Linked DNA regions of Arabidopsis thaliana. The protein of the gene in region 1 interacts with the protein of each later gene in a pairwise test. Each region holds a gene or a part of one and is shown in the gene's direction. Other genes may lie near its edges. The genes, in order: HSP23.6-MITO, AT3G42630, NFD6 and NARA5.

The links.
Region 2: the proteins of HSP23.6-MITO (region 1) and AT3G42630 interact in a two-hybrid assay, tested with the Arabidopsis thaliana proteins (one large-scale study listed by BioGRID).
Region 3: the proteins of HSP23.6-MITO (region 1) and NFD6 interact in a two-hybrid assay, tested with the Arabidopsis thaliana proteins (one large-scale study listed by BioGRID).
Region 4: the proteins of HSP23.6-MITO (region 1) and NARA5 interact in a two-hybrid assay, tested with the Arabidopsis thaliana proteins (one large-scale study listed by BioGRID).

Annotation. Positions count from the first base shown.
Region 1 is NC_003075.7:12,912,619-12,919,873, forward strand, and holds HSP23.6-MITO (mitochondrion-localized small heat shock protein 23.6), read left to right. Parts: upstream 1-4,307; 5' UTR 4,308-4,470; coding exon 4,471-4,669; intron 4,670-4,806; coding exon 4,807-5,240; 3' UTR 5,241-5,492; downstream 5,493-7,255. Other genes in the region: AT4G25180 (RNA polymerase III RPC4), read right to left, coding at 1-2, 97-314, 467-491, 924-987, 1,082-1,146, 1,263-1,289; QWRF7 (QWRF motif protein (DUF566)), read right to left, coding at 1,782-1,838, 1,984-2,094, 2,196-2,285, 2,377-2,613, 2,691-3,383; AT4G25210 (DNA-binding storekeeper protein-related transcriptional regulator), read left to right, coding at 5,828-6,934.
Region 2 is NC_003074.8:14,717,908-14,725,641, forward strand, and holds AT3G42630 (Pentatricopeptide repeat (PPR) superfamily protein), read left to right. Parts: upstream 1-4,342; 5' UTR 4,343-4,406; coding exon 4,407-4,496; intron 4,497-4,570; coding exon 4,571-5,728; 3' UTR 5,729-6,012; downstream 6,013-7,734. Other genes in the region: AT3G42628 (phosphoenolpyruvate carboxylase-related / PEP carboxylase-like protein), read right to left, coding at 2,828-2,965; HA8 (H[+]-ATPase 8), read left to right, coding at 6,402-6,452, 6,538-6,894, 6,974-7,288, 7,369-7,734.
Region 3 is NC_003071.7:8,862,120-8,869,845, forward strand, and holds NFD6 (nuclear fusion defective 6), read left to right. Parts: upstream 1-2,978; 5' UTR 2,979-3,102; coding exon 3,103-3,263; intron 3,264-3,538; coding exon 3,539-3,689; 3' UTR 3,690-3,973; coding exon of another isoform or gene 3,974-3,978; 3' UTR 3,979-4,228; coding exon of another isoform or gene 4,229-4,248; 3' UTR 4,249-4,454; coding exon of another isoform or gene 4,455-4,474; 3' UTR 4,475-4,656; downstream 4,657-7,726. Other genes in the region: RPN1A (26S proteasome regulatory subunit S2 1A), read left to right, coding at 61-162, 256-396, 485-589, 672-893, 986-1,099, 1,179-1,394, 1,495-1,554, 1,644-1,757 and 4 more; AT2G20590 (Reticulon family protein), read right to left, coding at 5,124-5,335, 5,419-5,541, 5,673-5,738, 5,826-5,895, 5,982-6,123, 6,210-6,284, 6,360-6,504, 6,585-7,047.
Region 4 is NC_003075.7:13,779,283-13,788,281, reverse strand, and holds NARA5 (pfkB-like carbohydrate kinase family protein), read left to right. Parts: upstream 1-3,147; 5' UTR 3,148-3,276; coding exon 3,277-3,666; intron 3,667-3,811; coding exon 3,812-4,074; intron 4,075-4,292; coding exon 4,293-4,410; intron 4,411-4,669; coding exon 4,670-4,878; intron 4,879-5,093; coding exon 5,094-5,529; 3' UTR 5,530-6,069; downstream 6,070-8,999. Other genes in the region: AT4G27610 (intracellular protein transporter), read left to right, coding at 950-1,133, 1,221-1,325, 1,919-2,634.

The DNA of each region.
Region 1 (7,255 bases):
TCCTGGCACATAAAATGAGCCAAACCTTATGTCACATAAACCAACATAAGAGAAAATGGGAGGGAAAATCTTTTTCTATCTGAAGATTCTAGTTACCCAAGGTTCAACGTAGTCATCCCCAGTTCTTGTAACAAAATTATGAACCTCTTCTCCATCTTCTTGGGCAGCAGTAACAGACGAAACAGCAGGAAGAATACTAGCAGGAGAAGACGGATTAACATCAGAATTGGGCTTGTCATCTTCTTTAGGAACACCAAAGGACCTTATTGCAAGTGGTGACAAGCTTGGTTGGAATGCAACTTCAGGAGAAGAAGCTGCAAGATTTCAAAAGCTTTTCAAGAACGATATTTAATACTATCACCTTCCACACACATGGTTTTCTAATAACTCATTTACAGAAATTAGATCAAACACAACTCGTTAAAATGAAGAATGCGAGCGAATACACATATAACTTTCAACATACCTTTCGTTTCGGTTTTGGGTCTCCTCTGGCCAGTCAGCAATAACAACAACACAAAAAAGTTTAGTTTTCAACATTGAGCATTTGGATTAAGTAATAGAGATAAGAACTAAGCCAGTATAAGCTACAATGAACATGTTAGGGGTCCTGGACCAACTCATTTCATAGTCACTTAACAAGGCAGTTAAATTGATGCGATCAACAAAAGCTAGCAAAGGAGATGAGGCAGATTCAAAACTAGTAAAGGTCAGAACCAAAAAGAAAATTCCTTGTTAGCTACGATGAAGAAAGCACACCGTTTTGGTATTTCGCATATATCATAATCTAATGTATAAGATTTTGATTATTTTAAGTGAAATTAGGGAAGTTACGATTAAACTGTTAACGAATTTTCGACAAAATTAAATAAGGAAAGAAACTAGAGAGCAAGATTTGAGAACTGAGAAGCTTCTCTACATACGCCGACGATACGTCTGTCAAATTGGCGAGATGCTTTTATATTCTCTTCATCCTCCTCAGCTTCGCTGTGTTTAGAGAAAATTTAAAGCTTTTACATGTATAAGCAGTTAAAGATTTCTACAAGCATAAACAAGAAATGATCGAGGAAGAACGAATTACGTGTTTGAGGTTGGAGCGATCGGAAGACGGCGAGAAGGCCTCGGAGGATTTGGTTGGAACCTCCGCTGACGAGAAATGGAACGGAGTAAGGTCAGTGAAACGCAATTTTCGCGGCAAATTTTTCGAGATTTGAGATGAAATTAGGAAGGAGAACAAGAAGATAGAATCAGTAGAGGTTTACCTTAGACTTTTGTTCGCCTGAATCCATGGCAGAGTCTCGCCGGTAAAAGATTCGGAAACGAGGGAAAAAAAAAAAATTGGGGATTTAGGAAAAAGATGGCTTCGAACCCGAGACCTCTGTAGTACTGAATAGCTGGATAACCAAATGACTTAATAGCGCTTTTAGTAAGTTAAGTCAATCTTTATATTTATAGCTTTGGAAATTACAATTATTATTTTTATACATTCTTTGTGAGAAGTAAACACTTCTACGTGTGTATATGTGATTGGATAGACATTTTTAGATTTCATGTCTAATTTTTTGTATAAGTATATTTTCATTAAGGTGTATGTAGAAATTGCATAACGAAATTTGTAATACACATTAACACATGGCTTCAATCGTATATATCTAGAAGTAGAAGACTGCGTCTTGAATTAGATAGCGAGTTCTGGCATCAACAACAATCCAGTTTGCAAAATGTGCAATGTGATTAACATTTTAATTACATGTCCTAACGTTTGAGTTATTAGAGAAACATTATCTCTGTTCTTCAGTCTTTTGGAGAATATGGACCCTCAAGCTACTCTCCTTTGCCTGTTAAAAGAAAATTATCTCACCATTTTAGCCTATGGAGCTTCCACATCCAAATTGAACCAATAAAAAACAAACCATTCAAGTTATAGATAAAACTACCGGACCGGTCACATATATATAATGAAATTAGGAGATAATGAATTACCGTGAAGAGAGGAATGGATAAAAGGCTCTCGTCCATTTCTTCAAAATATAACAATTCTTGATTGAACATGCCGATCAATTCTGTCAGCTCATAGAGGATTATTTCAACCTGCTGATATTTAATCACCCAAGACATTCTTAAATTAATTTCTTTTACATGTATCTATACAAAAAAAGTTAGGAAAATGATCTGTATAGATAAAGTGGACTTACTCGTGGGAGAAACTTGATGATGACGTCTTCGATCTCGTCCATGACTTCTATAGCTATGACCATTTCTTCATGTATCGACACCATATCTATCTGTAACTTCCAAATTATTAGTTTCTGCTTTCTTGACAAATACACAAAATGTTTATAAACAAATTGGTTTCCCAAAGAGAGAAATTCTAACCGTGGCACCATGTACGAGGGGTAATCGGACAGACAAAGCATGGAGTTTTCGAGTTAGCTTGCTCAACGCTTCGGAGTTTTTTGCGTCTATTTTTGACCACTCATTAAGTAAAGGCATTTGGAGGCTGAGAACTTCACGTACTTTGATATCTTGACGGAGCCTTTGAATTTCAATCAAATTTTCTACAACGTAGTTCCTCATTTTGTATATCCTAAGCCAAACCCAAAACAACTGATCCTGAAACCATTCACAGAAACAAATTAATAGATATTTATAAGATACAAATTTAAATATTTTTCATATAGTTTTTGTACCTCAACGTTGATCTTAAGGTTTGCCATAGTGGCTTCAGTTCTTGCGTTAACAAACCTCCATTGAAGTAATCTGTTTTGAAAAATCCTAAACCGGTGATAATCCTCCTCTTGTACCGGAGATACTTTCTTCTGCGCCATGAAGTACTTCAAAACTCCTGCCACCGCTCCACCGCCACCGCTTCTTATCTTGGCCTTGCTTACGGGTGACTCAGGCGGCGTCATGCACATTGAAGTCGTCGGAGCTGAGCTGGACAGAGGCGTCTTCATAGTCGAAAGTCTTCCAGGAGACAACGCCCACGCCGATGGTGAGCTGGCTCCCGGCTTTACCCCTCTCGATGAAGCGTTACTACGAGGACTACCACGCGTACGTTGCTCCAAGTACCGAGCAAACGACTCTCTGCTTCTACCGTTGTTTATCTCTTGAGATCTTGATGCGCTGTTTCTCGCCGGGATTATGTTCTCGCCGGATTTAGAGTCGGATGATCCGATGGGTCTGGAGGATCTTGTTGTGGACTGTGATCTGGTTATCATCACTCGTTTGCTTGAATTGGAAGGCGAAGAGGAAGAAGATGAAGAAGTAGAAGACGATAACGAGGCGTTTAAGGACACTGGGAGAGAGATTGAAGAGCTTATAGTCCGGCTCCGGTTATTATTGGGCGATGGAGGACGGAGTCTCCGACCGGTGGTTGCCATTTTCTTCTTTAATATATGACGACGGTTAACTATATGACTATATCATACAAGACTTATATTCGGTTTCGTTTCTCGACTCACTTGCCCCTGTCCTTAAGACTCTTATAGTAAAGCTGGAATTATATGGTTCAAGGAATCGTCTAGTCTATATACACTGGTTTGAACAATTGTGATATATAATATAGTTAGGGGTATATTATATTTAATCTGTTAGATAACGGTTGGGGTACTTGAAGATCTGTAGGAGTTGACAGCACGTAGAGGCAGAGGTAAGAACACTTCTGCATGTAGTGTGTCTACATAATAAAATATAGAGTGTATTTTTTACACACACCAAAAAGAGAGATTATAATTAATGTATTATGTCAAAGCATATATGAAGGTCAGCTTAGCTAGAGACACGTCTTTTGTTTATCTCTCGACTAAACAACATGGCGTTTTAATAAAATCAAAACTTAAAAGGTCCAATTCAGAACGGCCCCATAGTATATAGTCTACGTTGAATAAATAAACCTCAAGATAGCGTCAAACTCTTTAGTCTTTACCCAAAAATATTTTTTTTTAAATAACGTCAAAACTCTAAGTCTTGACCTCAACACCAATATATATTTGCCTTCTCCAATATCTGATTTTTTTAATTGTTTATCCGAGTCTTCTTGGTCTTTTCGAATGTTTGCCCGAACCAGACCTTCCCACGTTCGGTGGTTGGTGGCCGCCTCGGCCTTTGGTTGATTTCTGTCCACATTTTGGTCCTTTTCATTCATGTACCATGTTCTAGGGTCATTTGACTTGTTGACCATAAATCTACTAAAACAGGCCTAATACCGATGGGCCGTAGCCCGTTAATAAACAAGACAATTTATATTTGTTTCACTTAGCTTGGGAGCCACGGATCTCTAGAAACATCCAGAGAAATATCAATCTCCCCACTTCTCCAGAACATTCACTCACTGACAATATCCCACCTTCAACACTTAACTCCTGTATATAGTCCTCCCCTGTCTCCAGTTTCGTCGCACACAGTTCTCAGATAAATACTAAACTCACTGTTAAAACTTTCTCAACAAAGCTTCCTGTTTCTCTACAAATGGCATCTGCTCTCGCTCTTAAGAGACTCCTATCATCCTCCATCGCTCCACGTTCCCGTAGTGTTCTTCGTCCAGCTGTTTCCTCTCGCCTCTTCAACACCAACGCCGTTAGGAGCTACGACGACGACGGCGAAAATGGAGACGGCGTTGATTTATATCGCCGCTCTGTTCCTCGCCGCCGTGGTGATTTCTTCTCAGGTAACAAACCAATTGTTTCGCTTTTCCTCCAGATCTATGTCTCTCTGTTGTTAACGTAGCGAAAATCTAGTAAGAAAACAGGTATTAGCTTACACTGAGCTCAAAATCTTGACATGATTGATTGTGTCTTTGTGTAGATGTGTTTGATCCGTTTTCGCCGACGAGGAGCGTTAGTCAAGTGCTGAATCTGATGGACCAGTTCATGGAGAATCCTCTGTTATCAGCTACTCGTGGCATGGGAGCTTCAGGAGCTCGTCGTGGTTGGGATATAAAAGAGAAAGACGATGCTCTGTACCTGAGAATCGACATGCCTGGGCTGAGCAGAGAGGATGTGAAGCTGGCTTTGGAGCAGGACACTCTGGTGATTAGAGGAGAAGGAAAAAACGAGGAAGATGGTGGCGAGGAAGGAGAGAGCGGTAATCGGAGATTCACAAGCAGGATTGGATTACCGGATAAGATTTACAAGATCGATGAGATTAAGGCGGAGATGAAGAACGGAGTGTTGAAAGTTGTGATCCCGAAGATGAAAGAACAAGAGAGAAATGATGTTCGTCAGATCGAGATCAACTAAAAACGTCGACGTTTTTTTCTGTTCTAGTTTTGTTGATAGGTCTTTGAATAAGAAGTGTGTGTAGTTTGGCACGGTCGATGTTGAGTCATGTAGTCTCTAAAGACTAAAAGGTTATATGTTTCTTTCTTGAGACGGTGGTTTTTTGTCTTGCTTAAACCAAAATTTGCATTCCAAATCAAAGCACTAATTAAATAAGTTCCTAATCGTGTATTCTTTTAGCTAACTCGGTCGGTTTACATGCCTTTGTGGTTATGAGACTGGAGCTTATGGAACGTATTTGGGTTTAAAATTTTCTGTAGACTAGGAACTAGGAAGACTTTAAGACGAATTCTGAGGCTGCGTAAGTTGTCGACGGACTGGTCTATTAATAACGCGTAAAAGTGTTAGGCCCGTTCGAGTAGAATAGCGCGTTGGACAGCCCAACTTGAATGAATCGATCGACTTTTATTAAAAAAACAAAAGTAGGGCAAAAAACAAAAAACAGAACCTCGACATTAACCTAAACCTAAGAGCAAAGCAAATCGACGGCGACGGGAAAATAGAACCGCAGATCTCTGTCTCCTCTCTCTCTCGTAACTGTTTGTTCGATGGCACCGAAGAAGGCGGAGGAAGTGGTCGAAAGCCCTCCTGTTTCCAGTGAAGAAGAAGAATCTGGCTCATCTGGAGAAGAATCTGAATCTTCTGCTGAAGTTCCGAAGAAAGTCGAGTCTTCGCAAAAGCCTGAATCTGACTCTGAAGGCGAATCTGAATCGGAGTCCAGTTCTGGGCCCGAGCCCGAGTCCGAGCCTGCTAAGACGATCAAGCTGAAGCCTGTTGGGACTAAACCAATTCCAGAGACGTCTGGATCTGCCGCGACTGTACCTGAGAGTTCAACGGCTAAGCGTCCTTTGAAGGAAGCTGCTCCTGAAGCTATTAAGAAGCAGAAGACATCGGACACTGAGCATGTGAAGAAGCCGATAACTAATGATGAGGTTAAGAAGATTTCTTCAGAGGATGCTAAGAAGATGTTTCAGAGATTGTTCAGTGAGACGGATGAAATCGCTTTGCTTCAAGGTATTATTGATTTCACATCTACCAAAGGAGATCCTTATGAGGATATTGATGCTTTTTGCATTTATGTGAAGAAACTGATCGATTTCGATGCTACCAAAAACCAAATTGTTACTAAACTTCAGAGGTTGAAGAAGAAGTTTAATAATGCTGTGAAGAATTCTCTTAAGAAGGGAAAGACTGAAGATGATATTGAGTTTGCTAAAGATCTTGAGCAAAAAGGTTTTGAATTGTCCAGAAAGATTTGGGGAAGCAATGGTGTTTTGGTTACTGGTAAATCATCAAGGAAGAAAGTTGGAGGAACACCTGCACCGAAAGAGATGAAGTTAGTAGCTCACTCTACTCCCAAGAAACAACAAGAAGAAGCGAAGAAACCGGAAAGAACAGAGGCAAAGGTTGTGAACACAGGTCTCTCCATTGGTAAAGAGATTGCATCGTTCCTCAATGCAGATAATGGGAGTTCTTGTGGTTTGGATGAATCCACATTAACTGCGGTTTGGGCAAAGGTTGCGGATGGAGCTGAGAAGAGAGAAGTGGAGGAGAAATGGAAGAAGCTTAAGGCTAAGCAGTTTGAGCTATGTTTGCAGAGGTCTGGACTCGTGAATGAAACTGCAAAGATGATATTCAAAGCCTATGAATCTTGAGCGGTTTGTCTTTTTACTTTTTTAGTATGCATCTTTGAGTCTTTTTTGTATTGTGCATTTTAGCTTGTGAAACTAATCCTTATGTAAGTCTTTTTTCGTATTTTCTTTATGCCCCTATGTTGGATGTTTGGTTTGGGTATATGACCCTTTTATTTATTACTCTTGTTCGGTTTCTATGATATTAGACAGAAGATGGAATAGCCCTATTAGTTCTTTTATGTTAAAAGCTGTGAAACGACTTAAGCTGTGAAACGACTAGTCAATGTGTGTTATCATATGCATTCCTTGTGAAGTTCAGCTGGTACCGGTCTGCACAGTTAA
Region 2 (7,734 bases), on another chromosome or scaffold:
AGAACCTCACTTCACCATATAAGTAGGCCTAAAAACCTACTTATCATGAATTCCGATATATCTTGAGGAATAACAACGTCATTTGGGTCCGCTATAGGTAAAACGGATTCTTGGAAAGAATCAGAAAACACTTGAAGGCTATACCACAATCCAACCACAGCCTTCGGGTTGATGCCAAAATGTATTGCAGCAGCTAGAGCATGCTCGCATGGGATTCTTAACATCGTGTACCTAAGACAAGTACACATACACTCGTCTAGTACAACGTGATAATGCTCACCACTCTTTGAAGTAACTTGATAACTCCATGGCCCAAACATCATGACTGCGAACTTTCCTGACTTAGGCAAGTCTTGGAGGAAACGTTCATCTACCTCCGACGTCACCAAAGAGTTACACTTCGACACTTTTTTCCCCCTCGCTGCAAACAATCGCATAATGACCTCTCGGATGAACTGTATCATATAGACAATTGGATACGCATTTGCCTTCCTTAAGACATTGTTCATTGCCTTCGAGTTGTTGCTAGTCATGATATTGTACCGCTCCCCTTTGTAGTATGTCCTTGTCCAATGCTCAAATCCAACATTCTCTAAATACTTTCTGCATCCCGGACTCCGACCTCCTAACTCTTCAAAGTATTTTTCAAAATCTCTAACCCGATATGCTTTAGCGGCGCTAAAGAATAAACAAGACACACCGTACCTAGCGTAAGACACTGATATGTTTCGCTCCAGGTTACTATACATACTCCATGATGAGCTTTCGAATACACCACACTGACGCCTTTATATATGGAAGAATGCATGTCCGAGACAATCATCAAATCGTCAGTATCTGGAACAATCTTTGATAAATTGTCAAAGAACCAAATCCATGAAGCATCGGTCTCGCCGTCGACAACACCAAAAGCTAATGAAAATTTGAAAGTTCTCGTCTTGTGCACATGCTATGAGGAAGCATCCTTTGTAACGACCGACTAGCTGCGTTCCGTCTACAATAACAACTTTCTTCATATATTTCCAACCTTTTATAGACGTCGAGAGAGAAACGAATCCATACTTGAAGCGCTGGCGACCATTAGATTCAGGAGTGGAGTGGAGATGACAGATTGTACCGGGATTTGCTAAACGTAGAAGATACAGATATATAGGTAAAAACCTGTAACTAGCCATATCATCACCCCTTACAGAGTTTACTACAACCTCTCTAGCTCTCCATGCTGTAGAATATGAGATCCAAACATTAAGATCATTTAAGACCAATTGAGGTAAATCTACTGCTCTTAGACCCCCTTGCCTAGAACTATATCTATTCTTCATTACCTTGCCTAAAAGTTTGTAAGTAGCATGTTTACGATAATCCTTTCGACTCCCGATCTTGCAAACATGGATAGAATCATAACCTGTGATTTTGAAACATTTTGAATTGGGTATGACATGTGCAGTCAACTGCCATGGACAATTACGATCTACGCAAACCATCTATAATCTTTTAGGGCATGAGCGAGTTTGTTTGTAGCGGAAGCACCTTTTGATTGCAAAAAGTCGCATAGTCTACTGTATGACGTGCCTGTTTTTGAAAACACTTCCCACATACAAAGGATGACCTGACGTACTCAATTCAACTTCTGTCTCATCGACTCGAACATTGGCTAAATCATCGAATACTGGAGCAGCATCAGTATCGAGTAACTCATTCTCACCATTGTGCAATGTAGAAAACCCTTTATACACTTCGTAGGCTTCACCTGTTGTTACTAGACGGTGGTCAGATTCAATATTTAACCCACTTGCAGAAGCCCCTCTTAGGCATTCTATACCCTCATCTCCAGTTATGTTCTCAGCTATATCATCCACATTTGCAGCCATGTACTTAACTAATTCACCTTCGCATCTTGTCTCCTCTGCACAGACTCTAATGTACGTACATTGGTACAAACCATGTTGACACGTCGGGGATGGAGCAGAGATTGGTGTACTGTCAACCAAAACAGCAGTGGGTTCTACATGATGTACATGTTTACCTGTCGACGTACACAATGCCAATAGACGAGTGAATTCCCCTGGGGTTCCACGGTTTGTTGAGTGTCATTCACGACGTCCTCCTCAACATGACCAATTCCATAGTCTTCCACAATCAGATCACCCTATTTATTGTAATCGTAATCTTCGCCACTACCTTCACTACCGTCGATTGTAGGGTCGAGGGTACTTCCATATATTCGCCAAACATTTGATCTGCATCCACATCCTCCTCTTCATTATCCTCATCCTCATCACCTTCATCTCTTCCATCCTCATATACATTTATATCTTCGTCAAACTTATGAGCTGCATCAACATTTGCAACCTCTGTCTCTGTAAAGCTTCCCTTGCCGATAGAGTAGAAAGACACAAACAAGTTAATAGAAGGATCGCCATTACGAATCAACATAAATGTATCCAGGCTGATTTGATTCTCAATATATACTGGAGGGCGATTACTTCCTATCATATCAGACATATTTCCAAGCATCCAATAATTTATTATAGGCTTGCATTCACTAATCTTCAGCACCGTTAAACAAGTTGGATTTGTTTTTTGCCCAAATTTTTTATCTCAATTATGTAAATATCTTATAATATAATCTCTATTATAATAGGTAATCACTGAAAAGGATTCAACTTTATGGATAATATAAGCAGAAACAACAAACCTGCATGATGATTCACTAAAGGGTAACCCTAAATGTAACTAAAAGTTCAAATTTTTATCACAAACCCAGTTTTTAAGAAAGAAGAAAGAGTGAACATACGAATTCTCTGACATCCTCGCCATGCAAACCCTAAAGAATATCGAGAAATCGATCCAGTAACAGAGCATCGTACTCGATAAGCTTGTCGTCTTTAGAAACCTTGCCAGGAGCAAGAAGCCTGAGCTGAGCATCAATAGAAGCCATCTTCTCCAAATTTCTTGCAGCCATGGTTTGGTTGATGCTTTTTGCTCTCTCTGGTGAAAAGCTCTTTTGGTTAAGTGAGAGAGATTCTCAATAATTTTATAGATTGATACAATCGGAGACAATCAAGGAAATATATCCGATAAAGCTGAAACTAAAAAAATGTGTAAATCAAGAAAGATTAGTGAGATACCTCGGTTTGATTCGAAGTTCGTTTGCAATTCTACAATCCCCAAAATTTATGATTGTACCTCAGAAACAAAAAAGAGGTGCTAATCAAAATCAAGAAAATTCTCACACATATAAAAACCAAATAGCTACGAAAACCAAAACATGTAACCGAACAAACTGTAAACCTTGGGTAAACAACTCATCACCAATTGGCAAAGATCTATGAGATCTTACTTTCCAAGTGACCATAACATAAAAAGGAGTCGGAAAAATCGATGAAGATGCATCATAAAAAGGACCGAGATTGAAATACAAAAAAAAACTATAAACTATATTGCTATTGCTATGCACTAAAATCAAGCTACGATGTTTGTGTTTGAGAGGAGGGATCCTATATTTATAGGTATTTTCAGCATAAGGTTTTAGGGTTTTACATATGACAGCGTAAATTATACGGGCCTAATATCTTTGTTTGAAAAGCATAAGCCCGTTAGGGTTGTTAGGCGACTTATGATTGATTAGGTTTGATTAGGATTAATAGGCGATTTAGGTTTGATTAGGGGCGCCAGAGAATAGGAAATTTAGGGTTGAGAGTGAATTAAACCTTTTTTTTTTCTACACATTAAAATATAAAAACAAAATAATAAGTTATCTCATTAGTTAGTAAAAATATTAATTTATCCTTAAAAACCTTAAGAGAGGGAGGGCAAATCCATCAGTTCATTTTCTGAGAGCGAACATGAAAGTTTTTGACATCTGCTTTAATATATAAGATTCTCCACCGCTTATGTTTGGGCCGCTACGAATTCAAGATGTTCTGATTCGAATGATTGAGTGATTATGAAATTTTTTACAAAAATGATCGATAGGTATTGTGTTGTTATGGGTTTTAAGAAATATTTAAATACTTTTTTAGAGACGGTATGCTTGACCTTTTGTAATATTATGGTCGAATTTTCAAATCTCATAACTATATTCTATCATTGAAATTTAAATTTTTTTTTAAATACTCTAGTTGGTATTAAATAACATTCCTTAGTTTTGCCTCGTTTGAGCTCTAATTATTAATCGGATGACAAAAAAAATAGTTAATATTAAATAGTGAAATCTTTTATAAAAAGAAAAGAAAACATTTATTTACTAGTGGGGATAATGTTTCTAAAGCCCAATAAAGGCCCAAACGTTCTCTGAAATAACACCCTAATTATAGCTTCTGAGGCCCAAATCTCTCTCTCTCCCCTCCGGAAATCTCCTCGATTCCTCCGTCACCACCGTACCGTAACCGAGACTGGTCGCAATGTTGTCGCTCAATCTATCTTTGAAACCCCAACATCTCAAGCTCTTATCTTGTTACACGGATTCGTCTGCTCCTTCAATCGCGAAAAAGGTACCTACACACTTGCTTCTGTTTCTTAGTTCACTTCATATCTTGAATTTTAGGTATCTCTCTACTTTGTACAGTTGATCAAGGAATCAAAGCTATCTAGGGACTTCAGTCAAAAGATACAAATCGTAGACTACGCTCCATTAGTTCAAACTTTAAGCCAGAGAAGATTACCTGATGTAGCTCATGAGATTTTTCTCCAAACGAAATCAGTTAACTTGTTACCAAATTACAGAACCCTTTGTGCTCTTATGCTTTGTTTTGCTGAAAATGGGTTTGTTCTTCGAGCACGTACGATTTGGGATGAGATTATAAACAGTTGTTTTGTACCTGATGTCTTTGTAGTCTCTAAGCTTATATCTGCTTATGAGCAATTTGGTTGTTTTGATGAAGTTGCCAAGATCACCAAGGATGTTGCTGCAAGGCACTCGAAGCTTCTTCCGGTTGTGTCTTCACTTGCTATATCCTGTTTTGGTAAGAATGGACAGTTGGAACTGATGGAGGGTGTTATAGAGGAAATGGATTCAAAGGGAGTGTTGTTAGAGGCTGAGACTGCTAATGTGATTGTTAGATACTATAGTTTTTTCGGTAGTTTAGATAAGATGGAGAAGGCTTATGGCCGGGTTAAGAAGTTTGGTATTGTGATAGAGGAAGAAGAGATAAGAGCTGTGGTGTTAGCGTACTTGAAACAACGGAAGTTTTATCGGTTACGCGAGTTTTTGTCAGATGTTGGTCTCGGTAGAAGAAATCTTGGAAATATGTTATGGAATTCTGTATTACTGTCATATGCAGCTGATTTTAAGATGAAAAGCTTGCAGAGAGAGTTTATTGGAATGCTTGATGCGGGTTTCTCTCCTGACCTTACCACCTTTAACATTCGCGCTCTTGCGTTTTCTAGAATGGCTCTCTTCTGGGATCTACATCTCACTCTTGAACATATGAGACGTTTGAACATTGTTCCGGATCTTGTGACTTTCGGATGTGTTGTCGATGCATATATGGATAAGCGACTAGCGAGAAATTTGGAGTTTGTATACAACCGAATGAATCTGGACGATTCTCCTCTTGTCTTAACTGATCCACTTGCATTTGAAGTTCTGGGGAAAGGGGATTTCCATCTTAGCTCGGAAGCTGTTTTGGAGTTCAGTCCACGGAAAAACTGGACGTATAGAAAGCTAATTGGAGTTTATCTCAAGAAAAAGTTGCGGAGAGACCAGATTTTCTGGAATTACTAGCTACATGCCACATCTTTGCTGCAAAGACCGTCACTCTTTGCTCACTATCACAATCCCCCTGATAAACTTTTCCGATGCTTGAAATGAAACATTGAGGTTAGAGAGTCTTCTTGCTACTAGATTTACATATAAATCATACATGCCTGTATTTACAATGTTTTATTGTTAAATAGATATGTATATTGAATTACATACATATTATTAATGCACATTTTTATCCGGAGTTGTGGACCATAGAAAGACATATTGACTCCTCAAAGTAAATTCTGCATGTTACATTGAAATCATAGGCTAAATTTGAGATGCACTATTTTTAGAAAGTGTAGAGAAAAGGACAGGAAGAAATAAGCGAAAGCTTTGGTAAGCCACCAAACCTGATTACTGGAAGAAAAGAAAAAAGTTCCGAGAATAGAGTTAGATCGCTGGTGAGGGTTTTAAATGGAACACAACAATGGTTGTTTTAGAGTGTGTTATTCTTTTGTATTTATACCTTCTCATAGGTTTCTTGTAATACACGCTTCTTCCTCTCTCTCCCTCTCTCTTATGGCCTCGTCTTGAAAGCGTCTTGCATGCTAAGAGAAGGCTTTAGAGCAAGGAGAGAAGGGAGAAGTTGATTTATACGTCCATCGGATATATCTTCTTTTTATATCTGTCTCTCTTTTAAGGAAGAAAAATGGCGACTGAATTCTCGTGGGATGAAATCAAGAAAGAAAATGTGGACCTTGTAAGATTTTTACAGAGTTTAATTCGTTCTCGAGATCTTGAACTGTTGAAAATCTGTAATAATTTTTGAATGATTTATATTATAGGAGCGGATCCCTGTGGAAGAAGTGTTTGAGCAGCTGAAATGCTCAAAAGAAGGTTTGTCCAGCGATGAAGGTGCTAAAAGGCTTGAAATATTTGGGGCAAACAAGCTTGAAGAGAAATCAGAGAACAAGTTTTTGAAATTCTTGGGGTTCATGTGGAATCCTCTCTCATGGGTTATGGAGTCTGCTGCAATCATGGCTATTGTTTTAGCTAATGGAGGAGGAAAGGCGCCGGATTGGCAAGATTTTATCGGTATTATGGTGTTGCTTATCATCAACTCCACCATAAGTTTCATCGAGGAGAACAATGCTGGCAATGCCGCTGCTGCTCTCATGGCAAATCTTGCACCAAAGACTAAGGTATGCAAATTTCTCAATACATATATATAGGTATGTATTTTCTAAAAAGGAGAGTTATATAACCTATGTGTGAATGTAGGTGTTGAGAGATGGTAAATGGGGGGAGCAAGAGGCTTCAATCTTGGTTCCGGGTGATTTGATAAGCATCAAATTGGGTGACATTGTTCCTGCTGATGCTCGTCTCCTCGAAGGAGATCCTTTAAAAATTGACCAATCTGCTCTTACTGGTGAATCCCTTCCAACCACCAAACACCCAGGAGATGAAGTATTCTCTGGCTCAACCTGCAAGCAAGGTGAGATTGAGGCTGTTGTCATTGCCACGGGTGTCCACACCTTTTTTGGCAAGGCTGCTCATCTTGTTGACAGTACCAACAATGTTGGCCATTTCCAAAAGGTATTTTAGAAATGAACAACATCTGAGTACTGTAACTCTTGGTCTACCTAGGGTCTCACGGCTGGGTTTTTATTTTCCAGGTTTTGACATCAATTGGTAACTTCTGTATATGCTCAATTGGATTGGGGATGTTGATTGAGATATTGATTATGTACCCTATCCAACACCGCACATACAGAGATGGTATTGATAATCTATTGGTGCTTTTGATCGGAGGAATCCCAATCGCCATGCCAACAGTTTTGTCTGTAACAATGGCTATTGGATCACATAGACTCTCTCAACAAGGTGCCATCACCAAGAGGATGACTGCAATTGAAGAAATGGCTGGAATGGATGTTCTCTGCAGTGATAAGACTGGAACTCTAACCCTTAACAAGCTCTCTGTCGACAAGTCCTTAATTGAAGTGTTCCCAAAGAACATGGATAGTGACTCAGTTGTATTG
Region 3 (7,726 bases), on another chromosome or scaffold:
GATTATAATAAAATAGATCTAGTGGAAGACGTGTCCTCTTAATATATTTGCTTATCGCAGGACAAACTAATGACAGTACCTTCAGACTCAACCACCGGATCTTCTGGAAACTGGCTCTTCAAAAATAAAGAACATGGCAAGACTAGTGCAGCTGCTAGTCTGGTATACTTTTTCTTATTTGATGAATTTATTTACTGTGCTCAGATCATGGAAGTAAGAATTGTAACCAGATCTTTTTGTTTCCCTATCATATAGGGTATGATTCAACTGTGGGATGTGGACTCTGGACTTTCCCAACTCGACAAATATTTCCATAGTAATGATAATCCTATCATTGCTGGAGCACTGCTGGGAGTTGGGATTGTAAATTGTGGCATTAAGAACGATTGTGATCCTGTGAGTTGCTGTCGTGTTTGATTTTGCTGGGACCATTTGTGCTAATATTTGCAGCCACTCTTCCATCTTACTCAGCCTTATTTCTCAGGCATTGGCACTTCTTGGAGACTATATAGACAAAGAGGATTCATCTGTCAGAATCGGTGCTATCATGGGTCTTGGAATTTCATACGCAGGTTCCCAAAATGACCAGGTACTTGTTATATTCTTTCCCATATTACTACTTGAATGTTTCGGGTGTTCACAAAACTTTAACACGTACACTGTTTCAACAGATTCGAAACAAATTGTCCCCGATACTGAATGATGCAAAAGCGCCTCTTGATGTGATTGCATTTGCTTCACTTTCTTTGGGAATGATATATGTTGGTTCCTGTAACGAAGAAGTAGCCCAGTCTATTATATTTGCTTTGATGGATCGAAGTGAGGCAGAACTGGGTGATGCCCTCACTCGTTTCTTGCCACTTGGTCTTGGACTTCTATACCTGGGCAAACAGGTTAGCAATGTGTTTTACATAATCTCGCTCTTTGTTCGTATATCATTATTTGCATTGCTTGACCAACATCAACTTGTTCCAATATCTACCAGGAAAGTGTAGAGGCTACAGCTGAAGTTTCGAAGACCTTCAATGAGAAGATTAGAAAGTATTGTGATATGACACTTCTTTCTTGTGCTTATGCTGGAACTGGAAATGTCCTAAAGGTATCTAATCAATTGTGCTGGTGGTTGAGTGACATAATTCATTACTTGTTTAGTTGTTGACTCCTACTTATATTTTCAGGTACAAGACCTTCTTGCTCAGTGTGGCGAGCATCTTGAGAAAGGTGACATCCACCAGGGTCCAGCTGTGCTTGGGTTAGCAATGGTTGCTATGTCTGAAGAACTGGGAGTTGATATGGAGATCCGTTCTCTGGAGCGGATGCTACAATACGGAGAACAAAACATTCGGCGTGCTGTGCCTTTGGCCCTTGGTCTCCTTTGTATATCCAATCCAAAGGTAAATACTTTTGTAAATGTAGTTTTACTGCACCTGCTTACAATTATTAGTGGGCGTCTAGAGTAATACTGGGTTTTTAATATTTTTCCCACAATTCCAGGTGACTGTAATGGACACCTTGAGCCGGCTTAGCCATGACACAGATTCGGAAGTTGCCATGGTTAGCAATCATTTCGCTTCATAGCCTGTCCCATATTATTTAGCTGAATAGTATTGAGAGAGGACTGATCTTTCTTTTGACTCGTACAGTCAGCAATTATATCATTGGGACTGATTGGCGCTGGAACTAATAACGCAAGGATAGCCGGGATGCTTCGGAACCTCTCCAGCTATTATTACAAAGACATGAGTCTTCTCTTCTGTGTAATGTGTTCCTCATTTTGGTTTCTGTACCCTGCGGTAAGCTGTTGTTCTTGTTGGAATTATTGTAACTAACTTGGTAAGTCATTATGCAGGTGCGTATTGCTCAAGGGCTTGTGCACATGGGAAAGGGTCTCTTGACACTCAGCCCCTTCCACTCTGAACGGTTCTTGCTATCGCCGTAAGTTCATTCTTTTTGTCACCAATAGAACCAAATCTTTTTTGATAGTTGGATGTTCAAAGGTTTCTCATGCGGACCTTATTTATGCAGAACCGCACTTGCTGGTATAGTGACACTTTTGCATGCATGCCTTGACATGAAACCAATCATACTCGGGAAGTACCATTATGTGCTGTACTTCCTCGTTTTGGCGATGCAAGTGAGTTCAACTTCTGTCCTGTGTTTCTCCCTCTTGTTAGTTAGGTCTGATGAACTTGCTATGATTTGATATTTAATCAAATTTTGTTAAAAAAATGTATAGCCAAGGATGATGTTGACAGTGGATGAAAACCTGAAGCCACTGTCAGTGCCAGTGCGGGTAGGACAAGCAGTTGATGTGGTTGGGCAAGCGGGTCGGCCCAAGACCATAACCGGTTTCCAGACACACTCCACACCTGTTCTCCTGGCTGCTGGAGAGAGAGCCGAACTAGCCACGGACAAGTATGTTATTCTTTTTCCTTTCTTCCTTGTACCCTTTATGTTGCCTACTTAGGTGTCTGATTATAAAACTCGGATTTGTAACTGGCAAACAGATACATTCCTCTGTCGCCAATACTAGAAGGATTCATCATCTTAAAGGAGAACCCAGACTACAGAGAGGAGTGAAGAGAGAGAGCTTCTGCTTCCAGCCAGTTGTCACTAGTTTTACTATTTCGTCTATTATCTCATGGTTTTTCTACTCTCCGTTTAAGCTTTGTTTCATTATCTTGGGATCTTTGTATGACCTGACGCTTTTAGTTATATAAACTTTAGTCTCTTTTTTTTTTTTTTTTTTTTAATCGCCACCAAGTCGACACATATTCTTGCCAAAACCAATATTGACTCAGTTTAAAAAATAACGATCCATAAAATTTTCCAATTACTTTGATCACATAAAAAAAGTGAAGAAATGTTAGCCACTTGCATAGTGCCGTTCAAAGACGCACAAATGAAATTGGGCTTTCCTTTGGCCCAAAAGTGTTGCGATCGCGTTTATAACAAAAGACTAAGGTTTCGTCCAAACTAAGATCGCGTTTATAGGGTTTATCATCATTTCCCGTAATCGTAATCGGAGTTCAGGCTTCAGCATTCTCTCTTCTTCTCTCTCGCAGCCGTAGTTTTTGATCTTCTCTTCAATTCTCTCTCCTGATGGCCACGTCCGCCGTCCTCTCCGGTGCCAGATCGATGCTTCGAGCTGCTTCCTCACGCAGCGCCGCTGCTTCTACTGGCCGCTTCGCCTCTCAAGCGAAATCCGCTCCACCATTGTTTAGAGCCACTGCCAGAAGAAGCCCACTGCTTTCTCCTCTCCGGTTAGTCTCTCTCATACCCATTTCCTTATTTGAGCTCATTTCACAGTTTTGTGCTACTTGAAGCTTGAAATGGGTTAAATTCGATCGAATTGTGAAAAAAAAGAAGGAACTTCTCTATGTAAAAATTACATTTTTGCGTTAATCATGTTTCCAGATCGATTATTCACAAGTAAAAAAGATGAAATTTTGCATTTTGATGTTGATTTTAAATGTGAAACTCTCTTATCACATTACTTAAAAGAATTTGCATTTTTGTTTGTTTTTGATGTGAATAGAAATCCTGTGGAACTGAGCTTCTGTGTGGAGTCATTGTTACCATATCACTCGGCTACAGCTTCAGCGCTAATGACTTCAAAGCTTTCTATCTCTGGCCAAACCTATGGCTGGCTCTCTGACGGTACTTTCTCACATCCTTCAATTTTGTAATGCTTGAATAATGGCTTAAATATGTACTAAATATTGAGTGGAGATATGCTTTGTTTGATTGATGAAATGTGTTTGAGAGCTGTTTCTGTATTGGCTTTCTAGATTGTTGTATTAGACATAGGTAGAGAACTAGTTTAGATTTTGCCATTTAAGAAGCTTTCTCGATCAGTGTAGATTCTTTTTGGTTGTTGCTATGGCGAAAAACTGGATCAGTTGTTGTTGTCTTTCTGCTTAACGTTGTAAAGAGATAGCGGCTCAATTGGTCTAGTTTTTCGATCTTGTAGGCTGACACAAGTGTAGATGGAGACAACGAAGCCAAGATCTGGGTTTTCATGCAAATAATATAAACGATTAGAACGGGTTTCAGGCAATAAGATAGGCTTTAGATACACATCAAGCAATGGTTGATGCTGCATTGTGTTTTAAAAGAACTGGTTCTTACATATCTTCTTAAAAAAAATACATGTACCCGGAAACGTGTCTTCTTTTCTTGTTGGTTATAGCATTTGAGTTATTACTGATTGGTCTTATACTCCCAGCTTGCAATGATGATGTGTGATGAGTTAGCCAGAGGAACAATGAAGCTACAGTTTATGTACAAAACCTCTACCTTTTAAAGCCTTCTTCTTTAGAAAAACTTAGGAACGAAAACCCTCTTAATTTTGTTTCTGAGTTTCTTGGAGAGCTTTTCTTTGTTTTCAGCCTATTAAGTAAGACATGTTGTATTGGTTGGACGAGTAACTGATGTTTGGTATAATTTATCAGCTTGCAAAGAGGACTTTTGATGATGTCTACGCGTACCCAATGCGAGATTGTTGATTGCGAGAGAAGGTTTAAGAGTATTTAGGCAAAGAATAATTGTTGTACTGTTCAAACACAAATCATCTCTTTGTCTTTAGTTTTCATATCAAAGACAAATGTCCAATATCTTTTGAATCAAATCTCTATGATTTCTATTACATCAACATACAAACTCAACAAAATTGCATCACTTCTACTAATTTAAAACTTGGAAACATCCATGAGTTTGAATACTATAAATTATAATCAAGATTCTACCAAATATATATATATATATATATATATATATATATATATATATATATATATATATATATATATATATATATATAATCAAGAATCTCATCAAAATAAGTAGGGAAAAAGTAGCAGATTTGGCAATCAAATTGGCACATTAACTTGTCGACCCTTAAACTTGAAAGAAGGTTTCAAGTTTCTTCTTCTTGTCCCTTGGATCTTATGAAACATTGTATTCTCTGCCAAAGATTCACGACTTGAATGGGCAGCTTTGTTAAAGGATCTCTTTGTCATTAATTTTTCATATTAAAAAAACAGATCCTTTCGAGATATAGAATTACATCTCTGTTGAATGTGGATTGATACAAAGTACAAACACTACAGTTTCTTTGATCCTTAAGTTTCTGCAACCACCACCACTAAAGCTCGCTCTTCTGATGGCTGTGTCTGTTCTTCTTCTTGTGGAACTGTTTCTTCTTCTTGTGGAACTGTTTCTTCTTCCTGCGGGAGTGTTTCTTCTTCTTGCTCATTCTCAACAGGCTCAACTTCCTCGGGAGTTAGCTGTAGATTTTGTCTCCTATACCGAAATATCACCAGGATGATAAAAACTGCAGAACATGAAAGACGTATACGTTATATTTTGATACAAGGCAAACCAAATACTCTGTCAACCATTGGTTAGGTAAATTACCTGCAAATATTCGGGTTCTTATGCTCGTCAAGTTCCAAAACGCTGTCACCGCAGAGCCAGCCAAGATCTTCTTGTGTGAGCAGACTCCCCATGCTTCACCTATTCTCGTTTTCACTCTTTCAACTGCACAAATGAAACTCAAACCAGTTCAAGAATTTAAACCATTGGACCAGTTAAAGACATCTACAAACACTTGACTATTGATTCTAACACAATTGACAATATGTGAATGGGTGCAATTCATTATTCTTCACCTTTTTGGCTAATCTGATGCGTGTAACATGAATACAGCTTTGGGATGGTGAAACTGAGGAAGAAACCTGTTTCAGTAACCATACACACATATCATCATCACAATTCCTATCATGCTTAACAATGTTTCAGCTTATGTTCCAAATGTTAATTACCAAATGCAGATAGCCTCCACAGTGTTATGAGATGACCATACTCAGCTCCAAGTAGCAGAAATGGTGTCACCTGTGACAAAAAGAAAATCAGCAGATGAAAGGGCAAGTAAACCACCAACACATAGCAATCACCAAAACTGATTTGATTTTGTTTACTTTGAGTGTCATTGATGGTTCTCCTGAAAAAAGCTCACTAGTCTTCGAGATAAAAAAGTTGGTTGCAGGAAGCACTCGTCTAGCTGAGCGCAAGACATCATCTTCACTCACATGGAACGCTCTCTTTGTGTCTTCATTTTTCCTAAAAGTAACAACACATTGAAGGATCACACTAACTATTAGCTTATGGAGAATGCCAAACAAAAGAGACCACAGAAGTAAATGTACCTTTGACAAAGAGTGTTTGACAAGAAGGACCCGCAAAGTAACACAAGTCCGAGATTGGAAACCGCCGAGAAAACGCTTCAAAACAAAGAAAAAGGTCATGACTTTCACAAATCTAATTGAGCCTACAAACACAAGCTAGATATTTGGTACCTAAAGTTGACTCCTTTGGCAAAGCAAGAAGATAGGAAAGACAAACATCCAAAACCAAACCAGAGAGTCGATTTCGCAACATCTCTCCACATTACCAAATCACTTATAATCTCTCCAATCAGATTCAAATCGCTCTGACATGTATCTTCACCAAACCCAACACACAAGCAAATCAGAATTAAGCAGAGAAACACATAAAGCAGATAATAAGAGAAAGAAGAGTACTTGGAAGATCTGAGGAAGAACAAAGAGGAGGAGCTGAACTTTGCTTATCCTTCTTAGGTCGACCATTAGTCTTCCGCTTTCTAGGAGGAAGCTTTACGATTTCTTCGATAACCAAATTAGCTTCTTTCTCTTCCACAGCTTCAGATCTTCGCCTCGATCTCCGGGGATTCCTCGGAGATGCTAAAAGACTCTTTTGCCCTCCTTTCCCTTTGCCCCGTTTCCGAACCACCGCCATAGCATCTTCAGAAGTCATTTCGAGTCGATCGGATAAACGGGTCCTCGATTTTCGAAGTGGAGAAGGAGGTAAGAGGAGGATATCGCGAAGAGGAACAGGTGATGATGGGTTTGGAGTATTGGGAGACGACAGAACCAAATCAAGAGAGAGATTTGGAGGATTCGAAGAATCTTGGAGACGCGAAGCTGATTTAGTGTTGGATCGGTGATAAGGAGGCGTAGACTCCATTATTATGAAAAGGGCAAAATCTCAGAGAATTGAATTTAAGAATCTCAGAGAATTGAATTGAGAATCTCAAACAAGTAATAAGGTTTTTCCTTTTCCGCATCCAAGAAGAAGACAGAGATGTCTGATCAGATATAGCCGTTGGAGGAATTTTTGTTTTTCCTTAAAAAAGATTCCATTTGAATCTTGACGGTCGTAGCAAACGTCGCTCCGTCTCTCTTTAACGGCGTAAAACTTATGGGAGTTTTTTTTTTTTTTTTTAACGTCTTATTTATTAAACTTAAAAAGAGATTACAAATATACCAATAAGCATATAAGTGAGAGCTCTACAATCCATACAACCAATACTTAAGTTGAACGAAATAATCGAAAAAGTGAAATTACACATTGCTTCCTTTCGTAGGTAAGCCTTACACGCTAACAGGGTTATCAATCTGTTATTTTCCTTGATCGTCTTCGTCTTCGGTCTAATTTGATCTTCTTGTTTGGCTATCATCTCTTTAATGAAACTCCAACACACTTTTCGAAAATCAAAAGGTTGCGATCCATCAGTTACATCGCTAACCATATAATTATTTCCATCACCCGCGTGAGACAATGACATTGTTTTGGTTGTAAATGTTGCCCATGATAAATCCATGATCTCGATTCTCTTGTTGACGTTCTTCAAAGACCAGAAATA
Region 4 (8,999 bases), 870 kb from region 1:
TCCCCGGGGGTTTTACAGTCATATCATCGTCGGAGACTCTGCGATTCTTCACGGAATCGTATTTCTCTCTCAGCGATTTTTTTCGATTCTCGAAGCTGCAAGGACCACCCATCAAACATTGAAACTCAAGCGGGAGAAATTTTCTGGCTCGGGAGGGAAACTATGGAGCCCTAATGCCCATTTTCTGCTGTCTATGAGGTTTTTTAAAGAGTCCTTTATACTCTCCCTGTTTTTGGGTGCTTCGCTCGCTCACTGATTTTTGATTCGTCGGAAAATCTATTTTCGAGCTCGGATTTATGTAATTCCTTATTCTCCTTCTGATTGCGATTGTTGTGTTCATTAAGGGTTGTTGGGATATCGATTAACGGCCCCTATCGAAAAAAATAAGGGTTGTTATTATTTTCATTTCGCTTCATGTTCAAGGCAAGTATCTATCTCTTCTTCTTGCTTTTGTAGTTTTAGAATCTAAATCCCATGGCATCAACGTTTCGATTACTCTTTCAGGGAACTCCATTTTTCTTGCATTTGCTTTTTTTGAGGTAGAGTCTGTGCTCCTATATGATTCCATGGATTCGTCGTATACTTTCTCAACTGAGAATGTTTGACTTAGAGAATCTTCCATTTTTTTTTTTGTCTTTCTCTTTTCAGTGTTACTATCATTTTAGATCTTTTTTTTGTTTTTCCTTCTCTGGTTGACTGTGTTTGAGGTAATGCTCAAAACGTGATTCTTTGTGCTCATTATCTTTTCATATTCTAGTTTCTGGAATCTTTCTGGGTATTAAGCATTTGATGATTTTAAAATTGTATATTTGTTGATTTTATTGAGTTGACACCAGGTTTCTTGTTGACATATGCCCAATTCATTCTGATCGTTGATGATGATTGATTCTTGTATCCGTTCAATGTAGGTTATGTTTGGATGATAGATACATTTTGACTTTCTCATACAATGAGTACACGAAGAAATGGCATTTCCAAGCATCAGCGAGGTGATAAATTTTGTGGTGAAGGGCCAAACTGGATACTAATTGCAGGGGGTGCATTGTTGAGCACATTGTCCATTCGCTTTGGATACAAGCTAAAGCAGTCGCTTGATTCGAAACCTCAATCAAATGGCTCTGCTGGATTAAAACGTACTTACTTTATCGCTGTGTTGCTTAACATGTTTTATAATTTGGTTCTAGTTTTTTTCTATCACTAAATGAAAGCCTCTTGTGCAGCTAATGGAACATCTGAGAGGCAAAAATCTACAAGCTGTTGCTTACACTCTACCACATCTTCCTGTACACAAAATAATGATTTTTGTTGCTTCCGCTCCATTCCAGGTGTGACTTTGTAACTTTCTGTTTTGCCTCATACATATTTGTTCAATCTACTAAACAAACGCTATATGCTTGTTTCTTGGTCTCGCATCATGTCTTACTGGGTTTCCTTTCATGAAGTTAAAACGATGTGTGATATATAGTAAAATCTAGTTGGGAGAATGTGTAGATGTTGTTATAGAGTTCTAGCCTCTGTTATCTTACCTCATGATGTATTTGTCAACTAGGGGAATCCAATTCGAAGTTATGGAATGAGTAAAATAGTTACAAGATTTGCCACCTTGCAATAACTGGTTGAATCGAATATCTCTTGTTTCGTTGTGGCATATTACCATTAATTTGCATCAATTGGGCTGGCAACTAGGGAAGCAGGTTTTCTCCATTGATGGCTGTGTCTAGTGGCTGAATGCTAAAAACAGTTACTAGTTTTGTTATCTACCAAGACCTCGTTAAGCATAGTTACAAGTTTTGTACTATTAGATCCAGACCTGAGTTATGTTTTCTCTTTGGAAAATCTCTGAATCCTAATATTCATGTAGTCCAGAGCAAACAGTCGTGTATGGATCTTATCAGCCTTTGCTTCTTTATTTTTATAGGAACTGAGAGTGTGGAAGGAAAAGAGGTGACAAGCGAGCAAATGATATCCGCATCTGACACTTCACTGCCTCTTGTGACAGTTCCTGCTCCATCGAGCAAAGAGAATGGAGTCATGTGGGCAACTTCTCCTGATCGCCTGGAACTTCCCCCAAGACCATACAATCACAATTCAAACTGCTCAGATTCTCCTTGCGTATCTGAAACCAGCTCAGACATTTTCAGCAAACGAGAAGTAATACAGAAACTAAGGCAGCAGCTGAAGAGACGGGATGACATGATACAGGAAATGCAAGAACAGATTCTAGAGCTGCAAAACTCGTATAACGCACAGACGGCACACTCAAGCCATCTCCAGGCACAGCTAGACACACTGAACAGAGATCTGTTTGAATCAGAAAGAGAAGTTCAAAGACTGAGAAAGGCAATTGCTGATCACAGCGTGGGATGTGGCGCGGACAGCAATGGCAAGACATCTCCGGTTGGACCTTGGAATGGCGGGTTTATGGACAGCGAAAGCAATTATGAGTCACAAGAAAAGAGCCTAAGGGATGGAGAAAGAGTAGAGATGTTGAGAAAGGAAGTGAGTGAGCTTAAAGAAGTGATAGATGGGAAAGAGTATCTACTTAGAAGCTATAAGGAGCAGAAGATTGAGCTTTCGCAGAAGGTAAAAGAGTTGCAGCAGAGACTGGACTCACAGCTCCAAAACTTATTGTAGGTGGAAAGGTTAGGCATTGTGCATACTTGCGTCTCTTATTTTTTTTTTCGGTTCTTTTTCCTTTTTCGAGAAAATGAATCTTAGTATGTACTAAGAACGGTGGAGATCAAGATTTTCAGGTTCTTTCTGGCTTTCTGCTTTCGTTTTTGAATGTCTTGATTCTGTTTTTTCTTTCAACATTTGGTGTAAAGGTAAATAGATAGTTGTTGAAGAATTTACCGCGGGAATAGCTCTCTACTTTTTTTTTTTTTTTATTCTCCGTAATTGGTAACTAACCCGATAATTACAAACGCCACGTATAAGGATGTGTTCACTAGAAGAATTAGCCAATTTTAACACAAATGATAAATAGTATAAACAAATTTTAAATTTATAAATAGACGCAACATACATTATTATTTTTAAGATACAGTTAAAATAAAATTGTTAGCAATTATGCTTATTCTGAAATTTTGGGTTTGAATATAAATAAGAAATAGAGTTTTATCCTAATAAGATTTATATAAATAAACATATAAAGTCAAAGTCATACTTTATCCTCTCAGAGGCCGTCTCTCGGGTTTTGCTGGTCTTCCTTGCTCCTCTCGCTTTTGAATGGAGATGTGAGCTTTCTTCATTCAAAGAGCAAAACTATCTAATTCCATGGCGTTCTCCCTCCTCTCTCCAATTCCTACCTCTGCCTCTCTTTTTTTCACTCTCTCCGCCATTACCGCTTCTAATAATGCTTCCTCCTCCTCTCTCTCCCGTCTTTACTCTTTATATCACCCCAAAGGAACCTTACGAACCAGAACCGCGACCTCGTTTTTCGGAGCTTCTGGGAACTTGAGGATTGTTTCCATGGCGGAGAATAGGCAATTGGTTTGTAGGATTGGTGGCGGAGCCGGTGCTGAATTGGATGATATGGATGAAGGTGAAATCCAGAGGATTGGAAATGAAGACGAAGACGACGATGAATTCATACAAGTCCATGCTAATAATTCCTCTGCTGCTTCGCCTGAGAGATGGGATGTTTTGGGTCTCGGCCAAGCCATGGTGAGTTTTTGTTTCCTATAATAAATCATTCTAGCTTCTAGCTTCTAGCTTCTTCTTATCCTTGAAGCCACCAAATGGTTGAAATATGTGAATCTGGATCCTAAAAATACTTACTTGGTTATTGATGATGTGTTTTATGTTTTAGGTAGATTTCTCTGGAGTTGTGGATGATGAGTTTCTAAAGAAACTTGGTTTAGAAAAGGGAACAAGGAAACTGATTAATCACGAGGAGAGGGGTAAATTATTACAAGCAATGGATGGTTGTAGCTATAAGGCGGCAGCTGGAGGCTCATTGTCCAACACTTTAGTTGCTCTCGCAAGATTAGGTTCTCAATCCATCTGTGACCGGCCTTTGAATGTGGCAATGGCTGGCAGTATTGGAGGTGACCCTCTCGGTAGCTTTTACGGGTACTAAACTGTCTTACTTATATGGCCCTTCTCTTTTTTTTTGGCTAATTGTGTATGTAGTTAGACATAGTCTACTTTTTATTCCCCTCTTAAGAATTGGAGTATGGAATTATGTAGAGAATCGTTACTATACAAGAGTAGTTTGTAAGGCGTCAAACTAGCCTATCATTACATTTGGTTTGGTATACTCACAAGTTTTTTTTTTTTTGTTTCTATAGGACTAAACTACGACGAGCAAATGTAAATTTTCTTTCTGCTCCAATCAAGGACGGAACAACAGGAACAGTGATAGTTCTCACAACTCCTGATGCACAACGTACTATGCTTGCATATCAGGTAGGATTTCTGATCTCAGCAAATTGCTCTTGCAATGTATTACTATTCAAAATGTAAGGGTTTCCCTTTCTTCTTCCACAAGAGTCGAGCAAAGTTTAACTTTTGAAGTAGATGACGTGCAAGATCATTGTAGTGGTAGGATCGATTTGCTTCCATAAAGCAACCACATTGAGATAGTAGTAGCATTGTTAACTCTGATAAGTTTTTCAGTTTTATTGATCCCACTAAATAACAAACCTAATGTTATGTATAATTTCAGGGAACATCCTCTGTCGTTAATTATGATTCTTGTTTGGCTAGTTTGATAGCCAAGACAAATGTCTTTGTTGTGGAAGGCTATTTGTTTGAGCTTCCTGATACTATAAGAACCATAACAAAAGCCTGCGAAGAAGCCCACAGAAACGGGGCACTTGTTGCTGTGACAGCATCAGATGTGTCCTGCATAGAGAGGCATTATGATGATTTCTGGTCAGTTTCTTCTCCCTTTACTTGAATACATTCTTGCGTCTATTTGATTTTGGGTCAGTTCCATCGGATAGGAACAGTTGGAAATAATACGAAGAGAGTGATTATCTTCTGTAGCTTGATAAGTCATAGAAGCTTTGATGCTTCAAGCTGTGAATGTCTCTCGAAAAAACGAAACTTGAACCTAGATAAATGCTGATGGTTTTCTGTTGATTCAGGGACATTGTGGGGAACTATGCGGATATTGTATTTGCAAATAGCGATGAAGCAAGAGCGTTTTGTCACTTTTCCGCAGAGGAAAGTCCAATTTCAGCGACAAGATACATGAGCCACTTTGTTCCGTTTGTTTCTGTTACCGATGGAATCAACGGGTCATATATTGGAGTAAAAGGAGAGGCCATCTACATTCCTCCGTCCCCATGCGTGCCAGTTGATACATGTGGTGCTGGAGATGCATATGCTTCAGGGATCTTATACGGTATCTTGAGGGGTGTCTCTGACTTGAAAGGAATGGGAGATATGGCTGCAACGATTGCAGCAACTGTGGTGGGTCAACAAGGAACCAGGCTTAGGGTTCAGGACGCGGTTGAGCTGGCTCGATCACATGCCTTCCGTCTCAATGGTTCTGGTGTTCGAACAGATGTTGGGTCTTGATGAAACCTCTTTAGCTTGTGATTTTTAGCTTTTTGATTCATTCTTTGTCTTCATGTAGTAGTGCCTTTTGCAATTGACTTGTAATCTTGTATGTAACATTTTAGTATATAGTATATGTTTCCGACAAAGTTTGAGACATTTTTTGTTTTTGATTTGATGGTCTCATAGAATATTCTTGCAGAAACTATTATTAAGTTTTTGTGAAATGCAAAATTGAAATCCCATAAGCATGTTTAGCATTGACAGTGTTATAACAAAACTCAGACATTTTGTAAGACAGAATCTTGTCCAGTTTCTATATGATTCGCACTGGTGAAGTTATTAACAGAGGGTAGGCCAAGAAATTTCGAACATGCAGAGGCTTAGAGTAGCTCTCCGAAAGCTCTGAAACAAGAAAGAGTTCTGCTTCATGTAAATTATTGATCTGGAAAATTTTACAAAAAAAATTTGGACCATTTCTCGATTTATGCGTGTCATCCTTGCGCAGGGGCCATGCTAATCTTCTCTGTATCGTTCCAATTTTATCGGATGTCCCCGAAGGGACAAGCACTACTTCGACTCTAACTCTATATAAACTCTGTTTCGTTTTACTGTATAAGCGATGTGGGACTAATATGATGTTATCTCTTATATTAAAATGGGCCTCTGTTTCTGATTCTCTGTTAGCCCATTATTTCATTTATGGGCCCAATTTATCGTGGTTAAGAATCAAAATCTTAAAAAGTGTAAATTAGCTTCAACTTTTACTGCTCAGGTTTCTCAAGCGATTAATTTGGATCCAATTCCATAAACGATATTAATAACAATAAGGTTCATTCGCGAGAGTACCTTTACCAAGAAAATTATATCATTTCCAGGCTTCAGCAATTTTTTTTATATTACGAGCAAACCAAGCATCAACAATTTGATTACATGGAAAGAAAAATCTCACCTACGACTAGGAGACGAACAAGTATACGAATAAAAGATCAACGAACAACAATTTGACGTGCGATCTAATTAAGTTCTAAACTAGAATGATTAAGGACAAATCATAAATGTAGGTGGTAGTACTAGGACTTTGATTTAGTTTGATTGTTACTCAACTCCATTCATTGTGCTGCTTACCATAATTGTGTTATTATTTAATTGTATCGATATAGATGCAAAAGAGACAAAACACAAAGTGAGGCCTGGGCATTTCGGTTTAATTTCGGGTTCGGTTTGGGTTCGGTTCGGTTCGGTTTATTTGGGTTTTGTAAAACTCTAACCATAGTCAACCGAAGTTAGTTTGGTTTGGTTTGTGTTTGGGTTAGTTCTAGGTCGGTTCAGTTCGGTTTGGATCGGTTTTAATTCAGTTCGGTTTTAATCTGGTTCAAAAAATCAATTAACGTAACAAGTTCAAATCAAAATTATCAAATGCCTAGTACTTAGAATTTAAAAGAAAGGAAAATGCAAGAAATCCAACAACGTAACATAACAATCTTCCATGATTCCTTCACCCAATGTCATCAAGAAGAATCTGCAACAAGTCAATAACTTGCATATAAGTTTATAACTATATAAAGACGAAACGAAAACAATAAAACCAATCACTTCTTACACTGAAACAGAGTATTAACTAGAATATTGGAAACCAAAACAGAGTATAAACTATTAAGAACAGAAAGAAAAAAACATAAATTAACAATTTTAAACTTTTCAACAACAGATAGCACCAACATCGTAAAACTAATATATAGAAAGGAAAGATCATTACCTCTTTAATCTTTTTCTGCTCCCACTAATCGTTTACTTAGACATGTACCTATCGCTCTCACTTCTCATTCTGAGATGGAGGATTAAACTCTAACAAAATAAAATAAAAATTAGACACTAACATGAACAGAGAGTAAATCTATAAGTGATTGTCACATATAATTATTATAAAGAAATAAAGTAAAATACCTTCTTCAAGTGAATCCATAAACTTGTTCTCTTCCTCTAGCTTATCAAGAGACTTCATTGCTTCTGAACGAAGTGAAGCACGTAACCAATCTTGAGTCAAAACCAACGCTTCAACCATATCAGGAGTCAAACAACTTCTATATTGATCTAGGATACGATCACCCGTGCTAAAAGCAGACTCCGACGCAACCGAAGATACTGGTATTGCAAGAACCTCTCTAGCCATTAAAGACATGATTGGGTATTTTGAGCTATTTGTCTTCCACCAATCTAGAAGATCAAACGGGAGCCCCAAACTATTTTCAGTAGTTACATGCAGTTCGTCTTTTAAATACTTTACCAATTCATTTACCACTGCTACAGAAGTCTTCTTAGCAACCATAAATTTTAGAAAAGGATCATCAATGTTGTCAACCTCCATATTCTCAAAGTCTTGGTGTACTTGGGTTACGTTCTCAGCGTCACAGGAAACAGAAGGTTGTAGATTTGAAGTGGCATATCGAACACTATATATGTCAAATAGTTTCTCCAAAACATCCATCACGAGTTCCTTCATTTCAACGCATTTTGGATTACCTTTTCCATAGATAAGTTCAAAACTGAACATTGTAAATACCATTTTGCGACGAGGATCAAGTACACCAGCCACTATCAATATCTTATTGATTTTTTCTGTACCTTCCCAATATTTGTCAAACTTGGCCGTCATTGCAGAAGCCATCTCTGTCAAATCAGAATCTTGGCTAAAAGCCATTTTTTGCACACTTGACTGAATTTTGCAGATCTCATTGTAACAACCATTTGATGTCACCTTTATAGAAGAAGAGAATGCTAAAGTCGAATCATAGAAAGCTTTCAAGAACCTTACCATATGACGAGCATTGTCCCAATCAATTGCCATTGGAGGTCCGTCCCTCTTCTTTTTATTAGAATCAACCTCTTTGAACCATGCATCATAAGGTTTATCCATATCAGCCATCCTATCAAATGCAACTTTATACTTAAGTGCACTTTTCAACATCAAGTAGGTAGAATTCCACCTAGTAACACAATCCAATACCACACTTCCTCTTGTTATCTTCTCAACCTCCACCCAACGCTTAAATGATTCCAGCCTTTAATTAGAAGACCTCACATATTTTACAGCATTACGAACACTTACGATGCTATTACTTATATCTTCAAGACCTTCATTGGCAATCAAGTTAAGAATGTGTGCACCACAACGTATGTGCATAAAATCACCATTCATCATCAAAGCATCACTATTTCTGTTACTTAGCCTCTCTTTCAAAACAGTAATAGCTTTATCATTGGCGCTTGCGTTATCCACTGTGATAGAAAATACTTTCTCAATACCCCAATCATCCAAAGATCTTAAAAACTGATTGGCGATGGTCTTTCCCTTATGATCAGGAATAGGACTAAAACTAATAATTCTTCTATGCAATTGCCAATCCATGTCAATAAAATGAGCAGTAACGACCATATAACTCAATGTCGTAATAGAAGTCCATATGTCAGTGGTAAACGACATGGCCTGC